Ovis aries: one gene and its partners. Each later gene encodes a partner of the first gene's protein in a complex. Links are inferred from orthologs where the notes say so. Each region holds a gene or a part of one and is shown on either strand. Other genes may lie near its edges. The genes, in order: EDN1, EDNRA and EDNRB.

Evidence for each region.
Region 2: the proteins of EDN1 (region 1) and EDNRA are in contact, whole or in part, in a cryo-EM structure (PDB 8HCQ), measured with the Homo sapiens proteins. The link is inferred for Ovis aries from reciprocal best matches to the Homo sapiens genes EDN1 and EDNRA. Residues at the interface, in NP_001403492.1 of Homo sapiens: Cys53, Ser54, Leu58, Asp60, Lys61, Glu62, Cys63, Val64, Tyr65, Phe66, Cys67, His68, Leu69, Asp70, Ile71, Ile72, Trp73; in NP_001948.1 of Homo sapiens: Tyr68, Gln72, Thr73, Lys74, Tyr129, Asp133, Ile136, Asn137, Lys140, Leu141, Gly144, Arg145, Trp146, Gln165, Lys166, Val169, Glu220, Phe224, Val227, Phe229, Tyr231, His236, Lys237, Thr238, Cys239, Met240, Leu241, Asn242, Gln252, Lys255.
Region 3: the proteins of EDN1 (region 1) and EDNRB are in contact, whole or in part, in a cryo-EM structure (PDB 8XWP), measured with the Homo sapiens proteins. The link is inferred for Ovis aries from reciprocal best matches to the Homo sapiens genes EDN1 and EDNRB. Residues at the interface, in NP_001403492.1 of Homo sapiens: Cys53, Ser54, Cys55, Ser56, Ser57, Leu58, Glu62, Cys63, Val64, Tyr65, Phe66, Cys67, His68, Leu69, Asp70, Ile71, Ile72, Trp73; in NP_000106.1 of Homo sapiens: Pro88, Pro89, Ile94, Glu95, Ile157, Asn158, Lys161, Glu165, Asp166, Trp167, Val177, Pro178, Gln181, Lys182, Val185, Phe240, Ile243, Met245, Tyr247, Leu252, Ile254, Leu256, Leu257, His258, Pro259, Lys270, Lys273, Leu277, Trp336, Leu339.

What each region holds. Positions count from the first base shown.
Region 1 is NC_056073.1:43,365,956-43,368,352, forward strand, and holds part of EDN1 (endothelin-1), read right to left. Parts: intron 1,848-2,397; coding exon 1,689-1,847; intron 1,537-1,688; coding exon 1,423-1,536; intron 1-1,422. UniProt on the Homo sapiens protein: Endothelins are endothelium-derived vasoconstrictor peptides. Probable ligand for G-protein coupled receptors EDNRA and EDNRB which activates PTK2B, BCAR1, BCAR3 and, GTPases RAP1 and RHOA cascade in glomerular mesangial cells.
Region 2 is NC_056070.1:10,804,038-10,808,131, forward strand, and holds the start of EDNRA (endothelin-1 receptor), read right to left. Parts: upstream 2,885-4,094; 5' UTR 2,529-2,884; intron 1,300-2,528; 5' UTR 1,026-1,299; intron 1-1,025. UniProt on the Homo sapiens protein: Receptor for endothelin-1. Mediates its action by association with G proteins that activate a phosphatidylinositol-calcium second messenger system. The rank order of binding affinities for ET-A is: ET1 > ET2 >> ET3.
Region 3 is NC_056063.1:53,628,112-53,631,763, forward strand, and holds part of EDNRB (endothelin receptor type B), read right to left. Parts: intron 2,888-3,652; coding exon 2,775-2,887; intron 2,641-2,774; coding exon 2,436-2,640; intron 820-2,435; coding exon 670-819; intron 1-669. UniProt on the Homo sapiens protein: Non-specific receptor for endothelin 1, 2, and 3. Mediates its action by association with G proteins that activate a phosphatidylinositol-calcium second messenger system.

The DNA of each region.
Region 1 (2,397 bases):
AATTAAAAACTATCGTTTTTGCAGGCTTAATGTTTTCTTTGGGTGGGAAGAACAGTAACATTGATTTAATAGTTGATGTAATGGAAACTAATAGAAAAAAATAATAATTTCCAAGTCAGTTCAGAAATGGTGGTTTACATAAAATTGCCGTCTGGAGAAGCACTGTGCTGTGCTCAGTCATGTCCGACTCTTTGCGACCCTGTGGACTGTAGCCCTCCAGGCTCCTCTGTCCATGGGGATTCTCCAGGCAAGAACAGTGGAGTGGGTAGCCATGCCCTTCTCCAGGGGATCTTCCCGACCCAGGAGTTGAACCCAGATCTCTCACATTGCAGGTGGATTCTTTACCAGCTGAACCACCAGGGAAGCCCAAGAATACAGAGTGGGTAGCCTATCCCTTCTCCAGGGGATCTTCCCAACCCAGGAATCGAACCCGGGTCTCCTGCATGGCAGGCAGATTCTTTACCAGCTGAGCTACCAGGGAAGCCTGGAGGAGCACTAGTGGCCTGAGTTCATAAACACGGAGACTTCAAGGTCACATGGGAAGCGCTGAGCTTGGCCCCAGACAGTAGTAAACAACTCAGAAGTCGTCCATGACCTCCTGGCCTGTGCTCAGAACACTTGGATCCTAGAACTTCTTGCCACTGGATTTCTAGGAAAAAGTGCCTCTGACCATGACAGGGAATCATAGACCACAGGACAGATCTGAAAGCAGGACTCCTCCCCGCAGCTTGTAAATTTCAAGATGCTTAGGTTGTGGAAGGTTTATCACTACAGAGCCCCTCAGAGCAACCCTGGGGTGTTACTGATCCAGATCCCAGCTCATGACTGATCAAAAAATAAGAAAGCTGTTGAGAATGAAATTGAGTCTCCATTGAATGCATTTCCCTATTAAAAAAGTAAATAAATAAACCTGAGAAATGACATGTTCTAACTCTCACCAACCCTACTTAATGACTTTAGTTTCCCTTTGGCCATTTGAATAACTGCTATGTTTTTGAAGAAGTTGATTATACATGATTTAAAAAAAAAATAAAATTTCCCTGAAATGATGTTTAATTTCTCAGGGAAAGCTGTAAATATATTGACTCAGAGATGCAAAAACTAGATGTGACCAAATGACAGAGGTGTCCCTAAACAGATTTTTGTTTGGATGAGTGGTGTGTGTGCCAAAGGGCAGCACACTGAATTATGTAAACCACTGTTTCTGAACCAACTTGGGAATTATTATTATTTGGTGTTAGTTTCCATTACATCAAAAAACTTTTGAGAAGGATTCTTTGGCTCTTTTAAGTTTAGAGAACACAGAGATTTCTCTTTCCTCCCTTCCCTTCATATTGTCTTGTAAGCCTTTTTCCCACGGAGGTAAGAAGGACTGGAGACTGTTTATAGGTGAAGGGGACCAGCTGTTTATAAGAGTCTTACCTTCTTGTTTTCCTTCCGACCACGAGCTGCTGCTGAAGACACTTCTCTCCTAGCTTAGGACAGTCTTTTCCTCTCTTTCGGTTGTCCCAGGCTTTCTCCATGGAGTCTTGGTCCCTGCCAAAATACAGGGAGGACATTTCAGCAACAGGAACCCTGGTTGTTCTCAGTGTCTCTGTTGCTTTCTTCAAAACAAGAAGAGAGCATCACGAGAGGAAGAAGGTCAGGAGGCCAAAAAGCTGATCAAAAACAAAGGTGTTTCTACTCACTTGAGCTCTTTTCCTGCTTGGCAAAAATTCTGACATTTCTTGTCTGTCTGGCTAGCACACTGGCATCTCTTCCTGTGGACTGTCGCCTTTGTAGGAAAGAAGTCCTTTAAGGAGCGCTTGGACCTAGAAGGGCTTCCGAGTCCATATGGAACAACGTGCCTATTATGGAAAGAGAGAAACAGAAGATATGAGCATAATTAATCCTCTCCAAAGGCTGCATTCTCTGGGGGCAACCGCCTTCCATTAAGACAGAAGGAGAGCCTGCCACAGCATTTGGTAGTGAAATTTAGAGTCAAAAGTGGTAACAGTCAGGACCACGTGCCCATCAATGGCCCTGAGGGTGTGGACCCACCCGGGAGAAAATCACTTTCTGTAAGTCAATGACATTCCGTGTCAACTCTGGACACAGTTCAGTTTCTTCTTGACACAGCAGCCTTGCTTTTTGGCCAAAACTATGACATTTCTGCTTTGGTATCTGTTTCATATTTTCTTCCTTTTCTCTCTACTTAGTTAACAGCTCTTGGGAGGTGGGGGACTTCCATGCAAAACCATGACTCACATGATTTTGAAAACTGATTTTTCAACTCAAGTGATACATGGATATGCTAAAAGGGGCCCCCAGGGAGGCTGGAGGAAACACACTACCTGGAGCGTGGTTCATGCCATATCTGCACACCTCCGGGGATTTTGGTGATTATCATGTGGCTAT
Region 2 (4,094 bases), on another chromosome or scaffold:
CAGGTCACAATTTAAGAATTGTGTCCTTTTGAGTCTATCCACGGTTGATATCAACCATGTTTAGGAGTTTGACAGTTATCTTGGTGATTAATAAAGCTCAGGGCATAGTTAATACATGAAGAAATGAGATTTATGCAAGGTGTACAGGTCTAAAGCAAATGTAAGGTGCAATACTGTATACTTCTGCCTTCCCCAGAGATTTTTTCCCCAGGAACCTGAATTAGTTTGGGATTTCCCTGGTGGTCCAGTGGTTAAGACCCTGTGCTTTCACTGCAGGGAGCATGGGTTCCAATCCTGGTCAGGCAACTATACCACGAGGCCAAAAAAAGTTTACGTGCTATGGTAATCTATTTTACACCTATTTGTTATCTGACTTGAGCTTTACAGCTCTAGGTAGGCAGGGAGAATATCAAGAGGAAACAGCCTTGAAGAAGTTACGTTTTTGTGACCAAGAAGTGGTAGGCCAAGTATAACCCTTCAGTCTAATTAATCATAGGACTTGATTCAGTCTGATTAAATGATTCAAATATCAATTTTTCTAAGCTACAAGCATACTGGGCACATGGTTCTGCCTAGACAATTGCAAGTATTGGATTGGCCAAAAAGTTCATTTGGGTTTTTTGTACCAGCTTATGGAAAAAGCTGGTACAAAATGAACTTTTTGACCAAGTCAAATAGTATGCAGTTTTGTTTTTCTTTTTTCCCTTGCTTACAGTTTGGAGTATCTGACAAAATATTGATAGACCTATGAAACGCCGCTATTTCAGTTACACAGTGGTGATCAGGACTCCACCCCACACCGCTCCAAGAATAAAGCATATCGTCACCCTCCTCTTCAGATCAGAGATGAAAAAAGGAAATTCTTCAATATCTTATGCTATTTAAGTGATTAATGCCTTCCAGTTTCCCAATGGGAATGAACCTTAATGAGTTTTCTTCAAAGTAAGAGACAAGAAGGCCTTTCTCAGAAATGGAATGGCTCTGTGCCCATCATAGTCTGCTAGGAGGATATTTTGTGAACAGACCTGGCTAGGTGGTTCACAAAAGCAGCACTACTGTTTGAACATCAGCACTTCAGTTCGCTTGGTGAGCTGATTACCGCAAGAGTTGAGGAGTCTTATCAAACTGTGGGTTGTTATCATAGTGTGAGCTGGCTCCCATAAAAACCACTTGTCTCCCTCCTCCAACAGTGACACCACCATTTCTGAAGTCATCTCGCTCAGCCTTGTCTGTTCACACATGAAGCTGCAGAGCTAAGGTATACTTGGCAAAGGCATGTGACTGCCATATCATCATTGGCTGAAAGACACAAAACCAAAGGGAAAAAACCCTCTGAACTGCATGTTCCTCCAAGGATGAGTCTTAGCTCATCTCCATGGATCTAAGTCACGCTGGCTTCAGATCATCACTCATCATCAGTCATAGCTCTAGTGAAGCCTCTCAGGTTCAGACCTGAGGAACCTGGTTTACAGATTAAGCATTCTTCATATTTGGGGTCTAAGGATTTGCTGGAGTTCAAAAGCTATTATGAAGCAAGAGGACTCTATCCTGATGCTTAAACCTTTTCACATCTGGGGACTCTCCAGATCAAAGTTCATCAAATTCGTGATTTGGAAATTCCAACCTTACCCACATGGCATGAGTTTAGAGCAGGTAATTTACATGAAATGATTGCCAGGGTATTTCTCAATTAGTTAACACAAAACAGAGGGTGGGGGCGAGGGAACATAAATAATCTACAAGAGAAAAAAAAAAAACAGATAAACTAGGAACTTTTAAATAAGTTTCCCGCCCCGCCCCCCTCCCCCCACTTTGGTGGGTTTTGCTCACTGAGTAAGAAATTAGTAACTCTCTTGACTGACAACGCCTGTCTTTAATATGCCTCCCAGCCCACCTCCTCTGCCGCCAAGTACCCAGAACGCCATTAGGATGGCGTAAACAGAGGCTGATTATTATGTGGGAACGGCCCTCGTTTACCGCACGTGAAGGGCGACAAGTGTCCTTTAAAAGGAGGACACAGATCAAAACGCCCAGACCCCCACAGGCAGGTTTCCAAAGTAGCTGACCTGGGGGTTCTCCAAAAACATCTTTCCCGAACACATCCGCCCCTCACACCCGGTGCCCTTGGCTACCCTTGGCACGTCCCGGGCGTGCGGGAGCAGCGGGCTGCGGGGCAAACTTCACAGGCGGGCTTTGGAGCCAGCGACACGGGCGTGATGGTCCGCAAAGTTCTCGCACGCCTGGAAAAGGGAGACCCAGGTTTTCTTTTGACGAAAACGCCGCCCGCCCGGGAAGGCGGAGGGGCTTTGCATCAGTTTCCCAAACCCCAAACTTTCGCGGGCGCGCACCCGCCCAGGAAGGCGCCCGCGCAGCCACGCGCCCCCGCGGGCAGGTGATACCAGCCCCGGTGCAGGAGGTGCCGGCGCCGGGCGACAACGGTCGGAGGTCACCTCTCCTCCCTGCGCAGGGGCCCGCCAGCGTCTCCCCCACCCGACTCGGGACCCGGAGAGTAAAGAGTTGGCACCGACCGTGGAGCTCCGCGGGCTCAGACGGCTGCGCGGTCCGTGTGCGGCGCCCGGGCGAGTTGAAGCCGAACCGGCGAGGGTGAATAGCGAGTGTCCCGGGATCCGGTGCGGCGGCGGCCCCGGTTGCACCGTTGCCTCCGCTTCGGAAAACTTCCTGGGCACAGCTTCTCTGGGGAGGTCCTCCCCGAGCCGCCAGGCTTCAGCCACTTGGGGGGATGGAGCTTCTCCACCTCTGGTCCGCAATCGCCAGACCAAAGGGCTGGCTGTGTGCGCGCGCGAGGGTTCGCGAGAAAAAGAAAACTCCGAAGGAACGCGCCTCGCGTCTGTCCTCCACTTCTCCTCGCAAAGCTCCCAGATCTAGTCCACTCAAGGGCGGCGAGAAAGTCCCAGCCTTCCAGCCCTCCAGGGATGCAGCCACTATAAGCACTAGGCGGCCGCCCCCTCCCAGGCCCTGAAGGGCTGGAGTCTTTTTAACTATTTCCTTCCTGAAATGAAAGTGGTGGTGATGAGGGGGCGGTCGTCGAGGAGGAGGGTAGTTTAACAAACAAGACCCAGAACTACGGAAGGGCTTGCTGAGAAACCTTTCCCTCCCCAGTGAGTGCAAGCAGATTTTTTCTGCTTGGAGCAGCTGCAGAGAGTCAGGGTCTGGAACCAGCGGTTTATGCTCTGCGTTCCCTGCCCCTTTGCTTGCTTCTAAGCTCCCTCTTAAGTTTATAGCAAGTTAAAGTGCTGGGAAAGATTGAAGGCAAAAGGAGAAGGGGGCGGCAGATGATGAGATGGTTAGGTTGCATCACCCATTCAGTGGACATGAATTTGCGCAAACTCCAAGAGATAGTGAAGGACAGGGAAGCCTGGTGTGCTGCAGTCCATGGGTGGCAGAGTCCAACAGAGCTTTGCAACTGAACAGCAACAACAAAGAGCCAGTGTGCACAGCAGCTGACTGTTTCAAGGACGTTTTGTGTCTATGTTGTCCCGTGAAGGCTATATACTACTGGCTCAGGGTGAAATAGGAGCTCCTGAAGAGACTGTGGAGGGGTCCAGTGTGTGGCTCTGAGAAACCTATGATTCCTCACGAAATCCAATCAGGGAGGATGCAGATGCTGCCAAAGGTGGGTTTCAACAGTTTTATCTTAAATGGGAATATGGGAGAGGAGATGAGGCAGATGAGGAAAAGAAATAAAAACTCCTTAGAAAAGGAAACCCTTATATGCTCTTGATGGGCATGTAAATTGGTGCAGCCACTGTGGAACACAGTAGGGAGAGTTCTTGAAAAACTAAAAATAGAGCTGCCATATGATCCAGCAATTCCACTCCTAGGTATATCTCTGAAGAAAACTGAAAACACTAATTCAAAAAGATACATGCACCCCAGTGCATTATTTACAATCACCAAAATTTGGAAGCAACCCAAGTATGTATCAATAGATGAATGGATAAAGAAGTTGTTGTTGTTCAGTCACTCAGTCATGTTTGACTCTTTGTGAGCCCATGGACTGCAGCACACCAGGCTCCCCTGTCCTTTACCATCTCCCTGAGCTTGCTCAAACTCATGTCCATCGAGTCGGTGAT
Region 3 (3,652 bases), on another chromosome or scaffold:
TTGTTGGTTATTCATTTTAAATATAGCTGTGTGTACATGTCCATTTCAAACCTCCTAACTAGCCGGCCTTTCCTCTCATCCTAGAGATTCATCTTTAAAAAGTAATGGCTTACATGTGCAATCTAGAAAAATGGTACAGATGAGCCTACTTGCAGGGCAGGAATAGAGACACAGACATAGAGAAAGGGTGTATGGACACCAAGCAGGGGAGAGGAGGGTAGGATGAACTGGGAGATGAGATTTGACCTAAATACACTACCATGTGTAAATGGATAGTGGGGACCTGCAGTGTGACACAGGGAGGTCAGCTCTGTGATGACCTAGCTGAGTGGGATGGGCGGTGATGAGAGGGAGGTCCAAGAGGGGGGGATCTATGTACACATACAGCTGATTCACTTCACTGCACAGCAGAAACTAACATAGCACTGCAAAGCAATTATACTCCAATAAAAGACGGTTTCTCTAAAAAAGTGATGGCTCTTTTTACATTCCTTTAGATTATGTAGGATACCTCCAGGTAGATAGCACAGAACATATTAAAAATATCAGACTAAGAAAAAGCAATTATGCTCTAGTAGATGATACTTTCAGTTTATTGTCACTACAATAATTTTCATATTCATAATTGGAATTGTAATCATGAGTCAGCAAATATTTCTATTTCCTTACCTGTTTTAAGTGATCATTTAAAGCAATTTGCATACCACTCTTCTTTCTCAACATTTCACAAGTCATCAGGGTATAAAACAATGCAGTGATGGCCAATGGCAGGCAGAAATAGAAACTAAATAGCCACCAGTCTTTAGCTGTCTTGTAAAACTAAGGGGAAGAAAGGATGTTATAGTTAATATTCCTCTGTAAGAAACTCTTACATATCAAATATTTAAAAATGCTCATCAAGGAATAATCTCCTAAAGTAGATCCATTTTATAAATACTATGTAGAATCTTTCAGTAGAATCTTTACACCACTATGCAGAATTTTTTGTCTGCTGAACAAAAAATTAAATTAAGTGAAACAAACTTTTCCTAAAAGGTGTTTCAATTCTCTAAGGCAGTGTGCTATAATTATATATAAAAATGTAAGCAATTGGGCAAATTTTTAAATACTTGATAACTCAAATATTTTTGTCTTCACAGAAGTGAAAGGAATTCCTTACCACATCTGGATGTGTAAAGATATTTTAGTGTTTTGGGGGAACTTCTCACTTTTTAACAAGTTTGTTTCTGGGGAAAGCAGGTAGGAAGAGGTCTATAGTAATCATTTAGCTCAGGGATGTATACATCTAAACTATCAACTAAAAATCAAAATTGCTTATAAAATGACTCCTCTCTTACTTGTTCTTTTTTCCTTTTCCTTTTAAAGATTGTTGTTCCAGATATGTCTCTGTTGGAACAGAAGTTATGGAATCTATGCAGTACTTTGGGCTTCCCAGGTAGTGCTTATGGTAAGGAACCCGCCTGAGACAAGAGACATAAGTGATGTGGGTTCGATCCCTGGGTCGGAACAATCCCCTGGAGGAGAGCACAGCAACCCACTCCAGTATTCTTGCCTGGATAATTCCATGGACAGAGGTGCCTGGTGGAGTAAGATCCATGGGGTCGCAAAGATTGGGACATGACTGTGACTTAGCGCACACCCATGCAGTACTTTTTCCATTGTAACTAATAAGAAACAAGGAAACAGCATTTTCATTTTCAGTTTCCCATTAAAGCCCCTCTTTAGTCTTTTGTTTATCATGATCTATACACATATACATAAAGTCTTATATAAACTTATGTGTAAAGTAGAAAATAATTATTTGTGACATTTGGACCCACTCCTTTTGCGTTACTCCTCTTCACCCTTTCTGTTGGGAAGAGCCTTTTTCACTTACGGTCTATTTTCTGATGACCAGCATTGCTATTTTCCCCCATTTCCTAATTAAACACTCTTAAATAAATTGACAAGATGGAGTTCTTTGCAATGGTAGTTTTCCCTTTAGAGACAGGACAGGCTTGTCATTCATACCAAGATTCATGGAGTCACGTAGATTTCTACCAGTCTATCCATACCAGGGTGACTTCCACTTGATCATCCTTTTAACCACACACTGCCTCCAATGACTGCTGTGTTGCTTAATGCAAAATATGTTGTAGCTGCCAGTTCTTATGTGAATTTGAGTAGGAAAGCTATAAATTCTAATCGACTCTCTTATGTCAACTTGGCTTATCTGTATTCCTGAGAACCAGGGGATTCTTGGAGAAGTAATGACCTAGCTTCTTGCAGCATGGGTCATTAGTCCTGCTGTTAACCCTGAGGTCCTGGGACCTACACTTTTAATTTATGCCAAGGACAGTCATAAATCAATAATTTCCCAAGAAGAGGAGATTGGGGGAAAATAGCTAAACATTTATGAGGCAAGAGCAGAAAAGGGAAAGAAAAGTAAAATTTACCTGCATAAATGCTGTTTTCTGAGTGGGATGGAGCAAGCAGATTCTCAGATTATTTCCTATGTGATCACTCGTAATTATATCAAAACCCACGGCCTCAGGGACAGCCAGAACCACGGAGACCACCCAAATTAAAACAATTTCTACTGCTGTCCATTTTGGAACCCCGATTCCTTTAATCCGACTCCAAGAAGCAACAGCTCGATATCTGAAGAACAAAACAGAATCAATTGCCAAGCTGGCAGAGCCTGGTTTTTATTGAATTACAGTTTACTTTCTAAGTAACGTAGCAACCACTAGGATTTTGGTCAGGATATATGTTGCTTAGATACATGCTCTTACCTGTCAATACTCAGAGCACATAGACTCAGCACAGTGATGCCCACGGAGGCCTTCTGAATGAAAGGCACCAGCTTACACATCTCAACCCCAAAGGGCCAGTCCTTGGCGAGCAACTGCATTGAGGAGACACAAAGCTCTGTTAGGGAGATGTTCACAGGGTGCTCTTGAACTGTATTTATTACTTAGTGGAGGTGAATGAGCTTATGGAGTAAAATAACAAATTCCAGTTCTTTTTCTCATGCACTCCTCTGAAAACCACCTGCATTTGTTAGATATCTGGAATAAGAGAGTGGGCTGGCAATCATGAAAGGGCAGCCAATTCAGGAGAATTAGCTACACATGAACAGGAGCTTAGGGTCAAGGTCTCTTCTATTGCAGGGCCAATTGCTTAAGTTCTCCTTACAAAAATGGGACGCTGCTGTACAGCACCAGGAGCTCAGATTAGTCTTCTGTGATGATCTAGAGGGCTGGCATGGGGGGGGGGGGCAGTGGGAGGGAGGCTCAAGAGAGAGGATATATGTATACATATTACTGATTTACTTCATTGCACAGCAGACACTAACACAACATTGTAAAACAATTATATTCCAGTTTTTTTTTTTTAAATTTAAATTGAGCCTGTAGTGCTGAAAATGCCTCTCATATTCTTATGAAGTCTCCAATGCTCAGTTAACAGCCAAATCAAAATAAAGATTAGTCAAAAATAGGTGAAAAGTGTTTCTTAGTTAGACTAGATGCCTCTTTGGGCTTCCCTGGTAGCTCAGCTGGTAAAGAATCTGCCTGCAATGCAGGAGACCTGGGTTCTATCCCTGGGTTGGAAAGATCCCCTGGAGAAGAGAGTGGCAACCCACTCCAGTATTCTTGCCTGGAGAATCCCC